Mus musculus: one gene and its partners. The main gene of each other region encodes a partner of the protein of the gene in region 3 in a complex. Links are inferred from orthologs where the notes say so. Each region holds a gene or a part of one and is shown on either strand. Other genes may lie near its edges. A codon is read from its position in the direction of its gene.

The links. The genes of interacting proteins can lie anywhere in the genome.
Region 1: the proteins of Rnh1 (region 3) and Ear6 are in contact, whole or in part, in a crystal structure (PDB 2BEX), measured with the Homo sapiens proteins. The link is inferred for Mus musculus from reciprocal best matches to the Homo sapiens genes RNH1 and RNASE2. Residues at the interface, in NP_002930.2 of Homo sapiens: Gln11, Cys12, Arg34, Asp36, Asp37, Arg64, Ser65, Gln93, Asn94, Asp122, Gln148, Glu150, Tyr151, Thr176, Lys205, Trp262, Trp264, Glu265, Trp319, Lys321, Gln347, Ser349, Asn350, Trp376, Ala378, Asp379, Glu402, Asp404, Asn407, Cys409; in NP_002925.1 of Homo sapiens: Lys28, Trp34, Trp37, Gln41, His42, Ser47, Gln49, Thr51, Asn52, Gln55, Val56, Asn59, Gln61, Arg62, Arg63, Cys64, Lys65, Asn66, Gln67, Ser91, Asn92, Arg95, Asn97, Asn111, Leu112, Thr113, Thr114, Pro115, Asn119, Ile120.
Region 2: the proteins of Rnh1 (region 3) and Rnase1 are in contact, whole or in part, in a crystal structure (PDB 3TSR), measured with the Mus musculus proteins. Residues at the interface, in NP_001165571.1 of Mus musculus: Cys7, Asp32, Thr60, Asn89, Asp117, Glu145, Tyr146, Asn174, Glu202, Trp257, Trp259, Glu283, Ser285, Trp314, Lys316, Glu340, Glu397, Ser401, Asn402, Gln426, Val428, Tyr430, Asp431, Ile432, Tyr433, Trp434, Thr435, Asn436, Glu437, Arg443; in NP_035401.2 of Mus musculus: Arg26 (codon at 1,868), Glu27 (codon at 1,865), Lys32 (codon at 1,850), Gln36 (codon at 1,838), Pro48 (codon at 1,802), Thr49 (codon at 1,799), Gln53 (codon at 1,787), Lys56 (codon at 1,778), Arg57 (codon at 1,775), Met60 (codon at 1,766), Asn62 (codon at 1,760), Gly63 (codon at 1,757), Ser64 (codon at 1,754), Cys65 (codon at 1,751), Lys66 (codon at 1,748), Pro67 (codon at 1,745), Val68 (codon at 1,742), Asn92 (codon at 1,670), Lys94 (codon at 1,664), Asn96 (codon at 1,658), Leu111 (codon at 1,613), Lys112 (codon at 1,610), Gly113 (codon at 1,607), Asn114 (codon at 1,604), Ser115 (codon at 1,601), Lys116 (codon at 1,598), Asp121 (codon at 1,583), Ala134 (codon at 1,544), Glu136 (codon at 1,538), Val143 (codon at 1,517).

What each region holds. Positions count from the first base shown.
Region 1 is NC_000080.6:51,852,133-51,855,692, reverse strand, and holds Ear6 (non-secretory ribonuclease precursor), read right to left. Parts: upstream 1,926-3,560; 5' UTR 1,864-1,925; intron 1,701-1,863; 5' UTR 1,696-1,700; coding exon 1,228-1,695; 3' UTR 1,050-1,227; downstream 1-1,049.
Region 2 is NC_000080.6:51,143,953-51,148,413, forward strand, and holds Rnase1 (ribonuclease pancreatic precursor), read right to left. Parts: upstream 2,816-4,461; 5' UTR 2,764-2,815; intron 1,968-2,763; 5' UTR 1,944-1,967; coding exon 1,494-1,943; 3' UTR 1,050-1,493; downstream 1-1,049. UniProt on the Homo sapiens protein: Endonuclease that catalyzes the cleavage of RNA on the 3' side of pyrimidine nucleotides. Acts on single-stranded and double-stranded RNA.
Region 3 is NC_000073.6:141,165,800-141,170,955, forward strand, and holds the start of Rnh1 (ribonuclease inhibitor), read right to left. Parts: upstream 3,138-5,156; 5' UTR 2,877-3,137; exon of another isoform or gene 2,864-2,876; coding exon of another isoform or gene 2,775-2,863; intron 989-2,774; coding exon of another isoform or gene 970-988; coding exon 884-969; intron 1-883. UniProt on the Homo sapiens protein: Ribonuclease inhibitor which inhibits RNASE1, RNASE2 and angiogenin (ANG). May play a role in redox homeostasis. Required to inhibit the cytotoxic tRNA ribonuclease activity of ANG in the cytoplasm in absence of stress.

The sequences.
Region 1 (3,560 bases), on a different chromosome or scaffold from region 3:
CAAGAACGGTCTCATGGATAAACATGAGAAGGAATGTCTCTGTCTCCATTTCCTATGGAATCTGTTAGCTAAAGGAGAGAGGAAGACACAGCATTAGGATGCTGAGCCTCTGTCTTCTCAGACGGATGGGCCACCCCAGAAAGGATAGTTTGAAGATCCACTTCCTGCTTCTTGTCTGTGTAAAGTAGTGGTGTTCATCACGGAAATTTTTTCCATTTGTGTAACCGCGATTTGTTCTCCTTCATTCCTCCGCCTCTCTGACCTGTCTTGCACTTCCTCACCCTGTGTGGCTGGTTCTCTGGTTTCACACAGTCCCAGCTTCCGCTTTCCTATTCCATGTATTCTACTCCCCTATTTTACACTTTCCGTAAGATTTCATCTTTGCTTTTCATCTAAATCCATGCATATTCATACATATAAGTATACACACACACACACACACACACACACACACACACACACACACACACACACACACACACCACTTTTAAAAATCCATTGAGGTGGAGAGATATCTCAGCAGTTAAGAACACTGACCGCTCTTGCAGAGGACCTGCGTTTGATTCCTAGTTCCCAAGTAGCTAACAATCATCTGTAACCCCAGGGTAGGCTCTCTCATTATTCATCTCTTTCCTGTGCAGATTCCAGTTCCCTTATCTTGGAGTCTGTCCTTCTGGTTTGTGTTGAATGTTCTCACAATTGATCTCTAAGGACAGCTATGCAGGGAGAGGGCAAGGGATAGCCTCACTGAGAGATCTCAGCTCCCTGACTTCCTCTGCCAGCCACTTCTTTCCCACAGAGAAACTTCAGGTAAGATGCTGTGTGGGAACTTTCAGGAAAGATGTCCATCTCTTCTCAGATTCATTTGTTTCCAGGCACTGGGTAGATGCCTCAATTGGTATGAGGCCCTGCCTCAACACACACACACACACACACACACACACACACACACACACACACACACACACAAACACACTCTTCTCTGTGTATGTCTCTCCCTGTTCCTTTCTCCCCAACCCTGTCAGACACAGAGATACCAGAGATCTAGATTTGTATGCAAATGTGTTTATTAATTAGAAAAGATCTATTCAGCTGAGTTAAAGGGAGTCAGGGACAGGTTTCATGAGGACAGGTGCTGATATGCAGCGCAGACAGAGGAATTGGTTCTTCACTACTATGATCTTGGCAGTAGCAGATGATCGAAGGTACAAAGTGCTGGCACTGGAGCTAAAATGTCCCATCCAAGTGAACTGGAACCACTGGATAGATGGGACAATCCCATGCAACTCTGGGCTCACAGGCAACTGTGTAGTACTCCACTGATCCCTTTGTTTGGTATCTGCATTGGGTATAATTTCTTCTCGGAGTTGTGAGGTTACAGACAGTTATAGGTACCCGAGACGAACTATTATGACAGTTTTGACTTATTTTGTCGCTGCACAAGCCACTTGGATTGCTACACACACCAACAACATTAATAAAACTTGTATGAAGAAAAGTATTTAAGCCCTTACATCTTGGTCTATGCATGTTAATAGCCTGCATTTCAACATTACATTGGAGGTTGGCTTTATAAGTGATATGCTGGGTAGCAAACCACTGGGATGCGGTTGGTTTCTGGCATGAGGCAAGCATTAGGACAAGTCCCAGCATCAGCAGGAGACAAAGTTGGGACTCAAGCAGCTTCGGACCCATGTTTCCTGTGAGGACAGAAGAGAAGTGACTACTCCCACGCTACCTCAGTTTTCCCTATGTCTTCCTGAAGGCCCTCTGCTGTCACTGTGGGTCCACAGTGACACTTTTCCTGGACTCTGCCCCATCACCCGCCTCTCCTGTCCCAGGCCTAGATAGTCAGTGTCTTACCCAGTCTGTGTTGTGGCTCCCGTGGAACTGAGCACTGGTTGTCCTGGAAATCAGGGATAATGGGTGAGCTCTACTTGGGCCCATAGATATACAGCAGGCTCTGTGGGTGGAGCTGGTGGCTCAGAGTCTTCAACATGCAGAACCCACAGATTGGTACATTGCCTGCTTGTGTAACCAGCCTTCTGTTTCTTCACTTGGCCAAGCCATGGTGCTGCTGGCTCCATTGTAAAGAAGAAATTCCAAGCCCTCTTGTGCAGGTCAGTTTGAAGTCTAAATTTGAACACTACATAGAAATCTCTGTATTGCCTGTTGACTGTTTTCAGTAAGGGACAGACAAGTTTCCTATTAGCCTGACTACACACTTTTAGAAAGTCTTGGGAAGCCTGAATCATAAGAGATATTTACCTTTCTGTCTTGCATCTTAAAATTATATGATGTTGAGGTCTGCAGAGATAGCTCGGTTGTTAAGAGTACTTGATGCTCTCCAGAGGACCCAAGGTTGGTTTCAGCACCTGTGCTGGATGGCTTACAATTGCTTTTAACTCCATCCCAGGACATCTCATGTCTTCTAATAGCATCTTTTGGCATGTTCATACACATGTGCACAGACACACACAGAGACACACAAGTAAAAATAGGTCTTAGAGTTCAGTGAGATGACAGTGGTTAAGAGAACTTCCTCTCTTCCAGATTCCTCCCCTTCCAGAGGACCCCAGTTTGTCACCCAGAGGCCACAGCTTGTGATAACTCTTGGTCCATGGGAATTGGACACCTGTTTGGCTTTTGTTAGTACCTGCACATGCATGGCACATGTGGATGCAGACACATGTGAAAACTAAAAGATAAACTTTAAATATTGCATATAGAAACAATAACAAAACACTGTAGTCACGGCATAGTTCATAGTATTTTTCTGATTGTTTCCTGTATAAGATTCCTTTCTACATTTCCATCTACCCTCATTTGTTCCAGAGCTACTACTGATGGTCTAGTTTTACACCATGGACCCTCAGAAGAATACCTCTTTATCTAAGATGCCGGAGTTACTATAAGCCAATGTTTAAAAAGATGCAATAACCCCAACAGAATTTTTGTTTCTGTTTTTCTTTGTGCTGGGGTTTGAACCTGGGGCCTTTTACAATCTAGAGATATGAACTGCCACTGAGGTACATCCCTAGCATCACATAGAGAGAGAGTTTTGGCTTCCATAGTTTAAATGCCTAAGTTTTTTTGTTATGCAAACCTCCCTTGCATTCCCATCCACTGACACATCTCCAGACCTGCTCCCAGTTCTGTTGTGAAGTACATCATGAGTTATATCCTAGTAGTAAGCCCTTGGGTTTTTCTTTCCAAATTTGATGAATATCATAAGGTATGGTCTCAAGAAATACTTCTGCACTTGACCTATAAGCTACAGTGAATATTTTGCTGTCCCAACTGATAGATTTTTTTTTTGAGACAGGGTTTCTCTGTATAGCCCTGGCTGTCCTGGAACTAACTTTGTAGACCAGGCTGGCCTCGAACTCAGAAATCCGACTGCCTCTGCCTCCTGTGTGCTGGGATTAAAGGCGTGGGCCACCACTCCCGGCTGATAGATGTTTTTTGTTCAGATTCAATTGGTGAGACATTGTGTCCAAAACTTGGAATTTCTTCAAACCTGGGATCCTCTTACAATGACTACTGTTGACCTACCTACT
Region 2 (4,461 bases), on a different chromosome or scaffold from region 3:
AAACAGGCACAATTAAACACCCTTTGATGCCAAGACTGGTCCTATATTACAGAAAACATGGGCACTCAGGTTAACGATGCTCAGGAAACAGCTGGAGTCCTGAGCTTCTGTTTAGTTATGAAGACAGCCATGGTTAGAAATAGCATGTGAACCTAAAACTGTTCTGCGAGATAAAGCCTGTCTCTGTTATCTGTACTTACATGCCTGGATGAGTTTATGTGCACCACATATGTGCAAATGCCCAGAGGCCAGAAAAGCCTCAGAACCTTTGGAAATGGAGTTACAGGTGACTGTGAGCTGTCATGTGGGTACTGACAACAAATCTGGGGCCTCTGAGAAAGCAGTCAGTGCATTTAGACACTGACCTACCTACTTGGAAGAAGTTCTTTCCCACCAAAAATAGCTGGGGCACAGTGGCACACACCTAAGAGCCCAGTACTTGAGAGGTTGGGGAAGCAGAAGCAAGAGTTCAAGGCCAACACTGGTTACATACTAAGCTTCAGGACACTCTGTGCTACTCAAATTGTTAAAGGAAAACCCCAATATACCTAAAACTATTGACTAATCTGCAGAGGAACTCTACAGTTTGTTCCAGGAGTGCTGGTGGCTGGTTCTTATAGAAACATACCTCCACTCTACACCTTCCATGGAGAACCGCGCCTTGAATCCTGGATCATCCGTAGGCAAGGCTGTGCATGTGACTGTTTCCCAAAAGCATCATCGAAATTGGATTTCCACTGTGGTTGTTAAAACTGAAGCCTCCCCACCCCCTACCCTCCACATTCCTATTTGTTCCATGAGGTCTGAGTCAAGGTAAGGAGGCAGGAGAGTAGGAAGCAGCCCCTGGAAGGCAAGACTGGATGCTGCTTTTCACTTACAATGAGAAAGAAAGTACAAAGTGAAACATGGATGGAAGAAGATAGCTGAAAGGCAGAGGCAAAGGTAACCATCTTCTACTCTCTTAATGGAAGAACTCTCTTCAGTAGATGTGACTGATCTGTATTGGTATGAGGAGCAGATGGACTTGGGAGCTATGGCTACTGAGTGCTGAAATAGATGTTAGACTTTATTGTATATGCGAAGAATGAATGATCAGCAGAGAGGCAGAAAAGTCTAGTTTCAATAGTGTAGTTAAAGTAGTCAGGAGTGAGGAAATTCTGGACCAATGAATGAGGTGACTTGCCCATTGTCCTTACTCCACTTCGAACTGCCCTAAATGCACAATTTATGATGAACAGAATTTTATTTGGTTGTTTTCTAAAGTCAAGAAAGTCTAAGGTTGAAGGGACATGTTCTGGTGAGGGCCATCTTGCTTCATTTGTCTACAGCAAGAGAGGGATCTGGGAGCATGACACAGGACAGGAACGCATGTTTTGTCATATGGAAGTCCTAACATGACTTACTTCTTTCAGAGAAAGAATGGTAGACAGAGGGGAGACAGGTGATGAGGTTGGGAGACATAGACATCTCACTGGTTTGGCCTATGTGGAGCCCTACACAGTAGCATCAAAGTGGACTGGTACGTAGGGGTTCCCTTCACAGGCCACAATGATGTGCTTCTGGTATTGAGTGGTCTTGTAGTCACAGTTGGGATACTTGGAGTTGCCCTTCAGGTGGCAGTCAGTGATGTGCAGGGCAGAGCTGCTCTTGTAGCAGTTGCTCTTCCTGTTCTTGCAGGTGACATTTTCCTGGGAGCAGACAGCCTGGACATCTGCCAAGGGCTCATGCACGAAGGTGTTCACGGGCTTGCATGACCCATTTGTCATATCCCGGCGTTTCATCATTTGGTTGCAGTAGGTGGGGCTGTTGATGGAGGAACCATCTGGATCCATGTGCTGCCGCTGAAACTTCTGTGCTGCAGATTCCCTGCCCAGGGAAGGCTGGACCCATCCAAGCAGCAGGACAAACAATGGAAACAGAATGAGGGACTTCTCCAGACCCATGGTGGCTTGGCTGCTCGGAAAAGCCTGAAAGGAAAGGAAGAGAAAAAAAGGACAAATGCTCAGAAGAGCTGCAGCACCCACCTCTGTCTCCACAGAAGACTCTCCCACCTCAGCTTCCTTACACATTAACACCCCCAGCCTCCCCAGCACAATCTCCCCAGACTCCCCAGCACTCCCTCCACCACTACCCTAGTCCCTGCAGCCACCAGCATACGCCCCAATCTCAAGACTGTCCCATTCTTTAGGTGAGCCAGAAAGATTTCCCTCTGCTGAGAGATCCTGCAAGTGAGACAGTTTTTCTTCATTACCTACTGAAGAGAAGCCATTCTTTTCTCTAGGTGGTGGGCTGTGTCTCCTAAACTCTTGGCAAAATGCTCAATAGGGTTGGGTTTTTTTTTTTTTCTCATATAAAATACATTTGAAAACTAGAGCACATTTGTAAATAGTGTCCAAATACCTCGTCAGAAGGTCATTTGGAAGACGCCTTAAGCTAAGTTGTATTTCTGGGTCTTTACTGACATCCAGGACTGTGGCTGTAGTCTCATTATCTTATGACATAGGGGAACTTGGTCTAGTGCCTGACTCTGGCAGTATACAGGGTTTGGGTTTTAGTCTAAAGACACGTGCTCCCTTCCCCAGCTTGGGAGCTCCATCCTCCCCGACCCACTCGTTCTTTATATCTGACTGTGCCATGCCTCCACCCCTGCCTCCAGCTGTTTGCTGGGCTCAGCTTTTCTGGAGTTGGTGTCAGTCAAGAGTGCCTGGCCTGGACTCTCTCAGTTCTAACTCTCAAGCAGAAATAGTTACTGAGGCCACTTACCTAAAATTTTAGTTTGAACTCCAAGACGAATTGGAAGTCAGTTTCTTCAGTCACACAGTCTCTGTGGTGTGGAGTTTAAAAGGATTCCAAGGGGTTGGCTTCTAAGAAAAAATGGGCGGAGTAAATCTGGGTCAATCTTATCTGAATAATAAAAACAAGGGCATTGAAACCTTGGAAAGGAAATCCCCAGAAGGCTGCCAGGAAAGAGAAAACACCTTTTGTGCCTCCTGTGCTGATTCCCAAGGGGCAGCAGAGCTAGCCACAGGGACAATGGCACATACACTTCACAGTCTTTCACAAAGCCTTGTAATTTATGAGCATGCTGTTTGCATCATATACAACCTGGAGGTTAACAAAGGACACACAGAGATCCTGGGAATCATGGAAGAGGGAAGCCCTCCTTCTCTATTTGAATCAAATTGATGGTAGTCAGAATTCCAGATCTCCCAGCCGTGCTTCTCTTGGGGAGAAAATAAGAGGCCGTCCTGTCTGCAGCTTGAAGGGTTCCCTACTAGTGGAGTTGGTAGGGTGAAAGTCTGGGTTGTGGCAGACTTGCCAAGCCAAACTCAGCCACTCATCCTCAATAGACCAATTATCGACAAATAATATCAAAAAAGTGGAAAAATACAGTGCATTCAATGTGGCTAATTGGGAAAGGGAGTAAAGAGAGTCCAGTGAAGGGGCTGGAGAGATGGCTCAGTAGTTAAGAGCACAGACTACTCTTCCAGAGGTCCCGAGTTCAATTCCCAGCAACCTCATGGTGGCTTCTGGTGTGTGTCTAAGGACAGTGACAGTGTACTCATATACATAAAATAAATAAATAAATCTGAAAAAGAAAAAAATTAAAAAAAAAAAAAGCTGGGCAGTGGTGTCTCATGCCTTTAATCCCAACACTTGGGGGGCAGAGGCAGGTGTCCAAGAGTCCTGTGAAGGGTCCTGACATGAGCTTTAGGCTTAAGTGGATGACAAAAGGCATTTATTATATAAATAATCAATCAGGATCAAAGTTTGGCCCCACCCATCACTGACTCATCCCTGGCTTGACTCCAGTCTGTCCTACAAGGTGGTCAGACAAGTTGTCAGACTGGTATGAAAGCTCTTTCTAAGACACAATTCCCTCTCTGACTAGCACAAGGCCCCTCACAGTCTTTCTTTCCCTAGCATGAGACTCCTGGGGAAATTCTTCTTGTTGTTCGCGGTTGTTTCTTTTCAACAGGTTCAGCCTTCAGTTAAGCATGTTAACAAAAGAGGCTTATCCAAGAGGACGAAAGCCCATGTCATCATCCATCATCCGACTCCCAGTTTCTTCCTTCTTTGCTTCCACTTTCTTCTCTGAAGTGGCAGCAGTGGTGGAGGGGGCAGGAACAGCCTACCAGTCCCTACATTGCAGATGAAACTTCATGTTGACCTTGGCCAGGGCCTTTGCAAACAAGCCAGACCAGAACGGTTCAACTAGCTGCTTTAATAAGGGGGGCTGTTGATCTTATCCTGTGACTGTCACCTCATCACCAGGCAGGATGAGAGAGAGCAGATGCAGGAGAGCTCAGAGAGTCCTGTGACTATGAGGACTGCCAGTGTGGTACTAGTCTCTGTGTGAAGTGAGGGCCTCATCCAAAGGCATCTTAGCTTCCTTGAAGTCTAGCATGTTGGCGGCAGCTGTGGGATGCCTCAGGAAACTCTCATCAACTGAGGTCTGTA
Region 3 (5,156 bases):
GCCACCATGCTCGGTTTATACTGTGTTGGAAATCAATTGCCCAATTCCATGTCAGTAAGAGCTATAGAGTGAGACCTTGTCTAAAAACAAATGTACAAAAATGTTGAAAAACTCAAGAATAACTCATGAAAATCTCATGAAGATTATGCAAAACAGCTTTCGGTCCCGGCCTTGGTGGCCGATCCACCCGAGCCGGTCCCCACTGCCCAGCCGTGCTGCTGCCTCTGACACAAGCGTAGGTTGAAAACTACAAGAAACTCGTGACTGAATGGCTCCAAGGTGAAGTACTCTTGCATGTAGCGACCAGGCTTGCCTGTATTCCACTTGAGGATTAGTATCGAAGCTGAAATAGGTGAAGTCCAGTTTACAAATAAAGAGTGAGGGCCATGTGAGTTTCCTTGAATGGCCTTGTAACTGATTACCCTGAAGATAGTTTCCTAAAGTTTTTAATCAATGTACTAGGATCCTGCCCCACCCCTTCTGCGTGTCCCACTGCCCTAGAATCAGATCTGCATGGCTATGACATGCTGGCCGTTTTAAAGATGCAAAGATTTCATGCTAGATCATTAGAATGTATCTGGACTTCAGTTAGGACAAGTTCTTTGCTAGTAACCAGTCACGTGTTAGCAATTGAGGTGTGTTAACCTGTATATTGTTGCCTATGAGTAATTTTCCATAATCTTTAATAAAGGCTTCCTGTGTTAATTCTAAAAAAATAAATAAATAAAGATTATGCAAAACATCTTCATGCCCACGAATAGAGAAAGTACTATTGGAACACACCAAGCCCATCAGGTGGCCCCAAGCTACAAGAACCACCCACCTCCACAACAGAGTACTGCCCTCCCAGCCAGACCCAACTGGTCCCCAAGGTTGCTCCTACCTGACCACTTCGTATTGCTGGATCAGAGGAAGGAGCTCTGTCCACCGGGCATCACTCAGCTGCTCACACTGGATGTCAAGACTCATGGTGGGTGCACAGTGCAGTCTGGGCAAAAGAAGAAGGAAGAGAGCTCTTGAGAAAATTTCTTATCTCGACAGGCTAGAATTTGTAAAAAGATGAGTCCAAAAGTTAAGAGAGTATTTTTTTCCAGTAGGGGCCCAGCCTCTCCCCAGCAAGTCTGTCCACACATTGAGTATCCCGGAAATAAGTTATCAGGGAGAAGCTAACTACATGGTACCATTAAGAGGAGCAGAACCTGAGAGCCTAGGACTATGCGACACAGTCACCCCCTAGCCTCTGAAGGAACCCAGTCACCCAGCACCAGGATACCAACTCTGGCCTGGAAACCTGCTTATTTGTGGGAGCCTGGCTACGGTCTGGAAACTCCAGTAGTGGGGCTTACTGCTGATTCAGCCTACTTCTTACTCTGAGAACAAGTTGGTCCAGCACCATACTCTACTGTTGCCAAGCCCTATACAAAGTCAAAGGCCAGGGAGCATGAAGCCTGGACACAAGCAACCACCTTAAGGGCAGGAAGGCACAGGACTCTGGGGGAAAAGGAGAGTATTCAGAGGCAGTCACTATAGCTTTTGCTTCTGTGACTTCCTTCTGAGTCTAGGGACTCAGGCCAGGACCAACTTCTCACAATCCTCAGCCAGCTCAGGCCCAGCCTGCAAAGGATCCAGGCAGTGTATCACACTAGGAAAGCTGGGACAAACAGGTTACAGGCTCTGACAACCTGAATAAGCATGACAGGCACTGGCTGTGGAAGGATGTATCTGAGGCCTAGAGACAAATACCCATGTCTCCACATTCCTAAGCAACTATCTGTCAAGCAAGCTAGCCTGGACAGCATGTGGGTATCCTGGAAGGCTTGAAAGAAGAGATCAGTGCTGTGCTCCTAGCACTGAAGGGAGAGCGGTACTAGGTTCTGTTTAAGAGAAACAGAAGTCACTTCAGCTGCTCTCTATAACAGTTACCGAAACTGGCAAACAGCTCTGTGTGAAGTTACAGTGCCTGGCACAACATGGCTTTACTAACGGGGTCTTCCCCTTCCTTCCCAGGGCTAGGAGGATACCCCCTTAATGCTAACCAGGAGCACTTTACACATATTGACACAAGGGCTAGTGACAGGGAAAACTGAGGCAACGGCAGAGATAACTCACTGTGGACATATAGCCAGGGCATGGAGAAACCAGTTAGCCCCACCCACAACTCGCCAGGGAGTAAAACCAGCACTGCCTGGATCAGATGTGTCATCCAAAGCCAGTCATCACTAGGGCACTGCCACTGGGGTGGGGTAGCTACAGTACTTCTAGTCACAGGTGCAACCCACACCTGCTCTCTTATGCACTACAGACTACAGGGTCCTAGAGTATCTACCTTTGAGGAAAGCACAGGACTGGACTTTATGGGAGGCAGGGTGCCAGCCAGTCCTGACGATCATCTGAGGTCAGGGGCAAGGGATGTGAAAGAACCCAGGCAGCTGGTTCTTCTCCCACACTCCTCCCCCTGTTTGGCCTTGGGACCAGGCAGGAGGTCCCACCAGCCTGGCTTAGAAGCATGATTCAGGCCTCTGCTTTGATGTGATTGGATATTGCTAACTAGCTGCTCCTAGCTGTTGGGTTAATCCTAGGATCTGAAGACACCCTCTTTGGGCCTTAAAGTGAGCGAGCGAACAGGTCGCTGGCGACGGAGCTATGAGGTCAGCCTTCAAGCACCAAGCAAGGCTCCTCTGAGGCACAAATGTGTCACCCTAAGGGAGGAACAGGCCTCAGAGACTCGCCGGGCCCGTGATCCCGCCCCCGCCCAATTTTTTGATCCCTCAAACCTTCTGGTCCAGCCGCTCTGCCACGTATTAAGAGGGCCAGGAAGGGACCCGAAAAAAACTCTCAAAGGCAGCCGGGCGCCCCGGAACATGGCCCTTGCTCACCTGGTGCCGCTGCAAGAGGTCCCAGACGATCCGTTTTCTTCCGCCCAGGGCGGGGCGTAGAGACTTTCGCCGCTTCTCTTTCTCTGGCCCCAACTAGCCTTTCACTTTGCCTACTGGAGACCGCCCACTAGGTCTGTCCCTCCCACATGCAGGCTGCACTTTGGGAACAGAACTTGACAAACCTGAGTCACTTCTTTGAGCCTGACTAAAAATACGTAAAATGATCCACAGCTGCCACGAAATGGGTGTGACTGTGATGAGAGCTTCTGGTATGAACACACCCATCTCTCCTACAGGCCGACCAGGTTTTCATGGCTAGAACAGTGTTCATTATGAACAGCCTTTCTCCCTGGGGATAGGGCTTGGGATGTCGAGAGCCTCTGATGCATGGGGCTCTCAAGCATTTCGTCACTAAGCATTTCTGATATTTGTCTTAAATATCGTTTATATATGAATGCTTCATCTGCATATATATCTGTGCATCGTGCCCAGGAAGGCCAGAAGAGGGTATCAGATTCTTGGGGAATGGCCACCATTCAGGTGTTGGGAACTACACCTGGGTGCTCTGGAAGAGCAGTGTCCTAAGCCATCCCTCCAGCCCATGTTTAAACTTTGTAACATACTCCCAAGTTATAGGATTTGCTTTTGGTTTCTGTATTTTTGAAATAAGGTCTTGATGTGTAGCCCAGGAGGGCCTTGAACATGCAGATTTGCTTCCTGAGTGCTGGGATTCTAGCACTGTGGAAAAAGTCAGCATTGAGAGTTTGTCACTCAGGAGCCCTGCTCTCTTGCACAAATGGCCACACACACCCTTGCCAAGGAACTGGCATCCATCCACCTAAGTGTTTGTTAAACACTTGTCATTTGCCAGATGCTGTTCTGAGTCCCTCCGGGAACTTTAATAATACAAGTAAAGGAGAGTCTAGCAGGCCAGCATAGGAAATCAGGAATTGTGTTCCCTAAAAGACCTGGGACAGGGAGCCCTGAAGGGAGAGAAGGAGGCAAAGAGACAGGCAAGAAAAGAGGCTGGAACTCAGCTTCATAAACCCTGTGCAGTGGCCACTACAGACAGAGCTTAATCTTCATCGCTGCAGAGCCATCCTCATGGAACCAATACCAACAACTGACCTGTGAAGTTGGGGATCAGTTCTTTGGGGAAAGATTAAAGCCTGCCCAATTAGAAGGAAAACTTTGGCCAGCCAGCCTTTATTTGTTGCTGCCATGAAGGAGAATTCCTGAAAAGAAGCTGTATCTACAGAGACTGGCTGATTAGAGTTTCAGTGCTGTGGAGAAATTGGGCTGGTGCAGTTCCAGAGGCTGCCTTATCCTGGGCTAGTTCTACCCCTCTAGAACAGCTCTTCCTTGCCTACCTGTGTTGCAACTAATATCTTGTGATCAGGCTGGCCTACAACTCACAGAGATGTGGCTTCCTCTTCCCCCTGACTGCTGGTAGGAAAGGCAAGTGTCACCACACCCAGCATCCTTTTGGAATCCTTTAGCAGACCAGTAGCTTCCACTAACCAAAAGCCAAGAATGTCATCAGTTGGCATCTTGGACTTACAGAAAAGCTTCCTTCCTCTTGTTGTACCAATCTCTCTGATGTACCCTTCAATGTACTTAAACTTGCCTTGTTTACTACTATTTTCTTCTGTAAAACTACAAAACGTCATGAAACTACCTCCATGGGAACACAGAATCTGGAGTAACCTAAATCTGTGTTCTCAGGCCATGGTCACTAACAATGACTCCAGAATAAACTATCTCTTATTCCTTTTAAGGTGAGAGCTGTAGTTGTTTTCATGGATACTGAGTACCCACAGACAAATGGCAGGGGCTACCAACTTAGGAGCCTGGGTTCAGGCAAGCCATGTGGCTGGCAGGTACAATGAGTTTCTAGCACCATACCAGGACCTCAGAACAAACTAAAGACAAGCACCTGCCTTCCTTCTACCAGCATGAAAGTGAGCTTTCTACAAAGACCACACCCAGTGAGGAAGGGTGAGAAGTGAAGGGGGCAAGGGCCCCTGGGTGCTGAGTTTGCACAAACTTTCCTGGAAGCTGTATGGGAGAACTCATGTGGGTGGGTGGGTAGGTGGGCCCCAGTATAGTCCTGAGGATCCTCTTAGGAAGCGGCGGAGATACTGGGTGAAAGGGCAAAGAAAGGTTTATCTTTTGGAGGCTCCAAAAGTTTCCTCCTGCAGACACTTGACTTTTAATTTCTCTCCTGAATTGTGAAGAGACAGCAGATATGAAACTGGCAAATTTTTTTCACAACTGTTA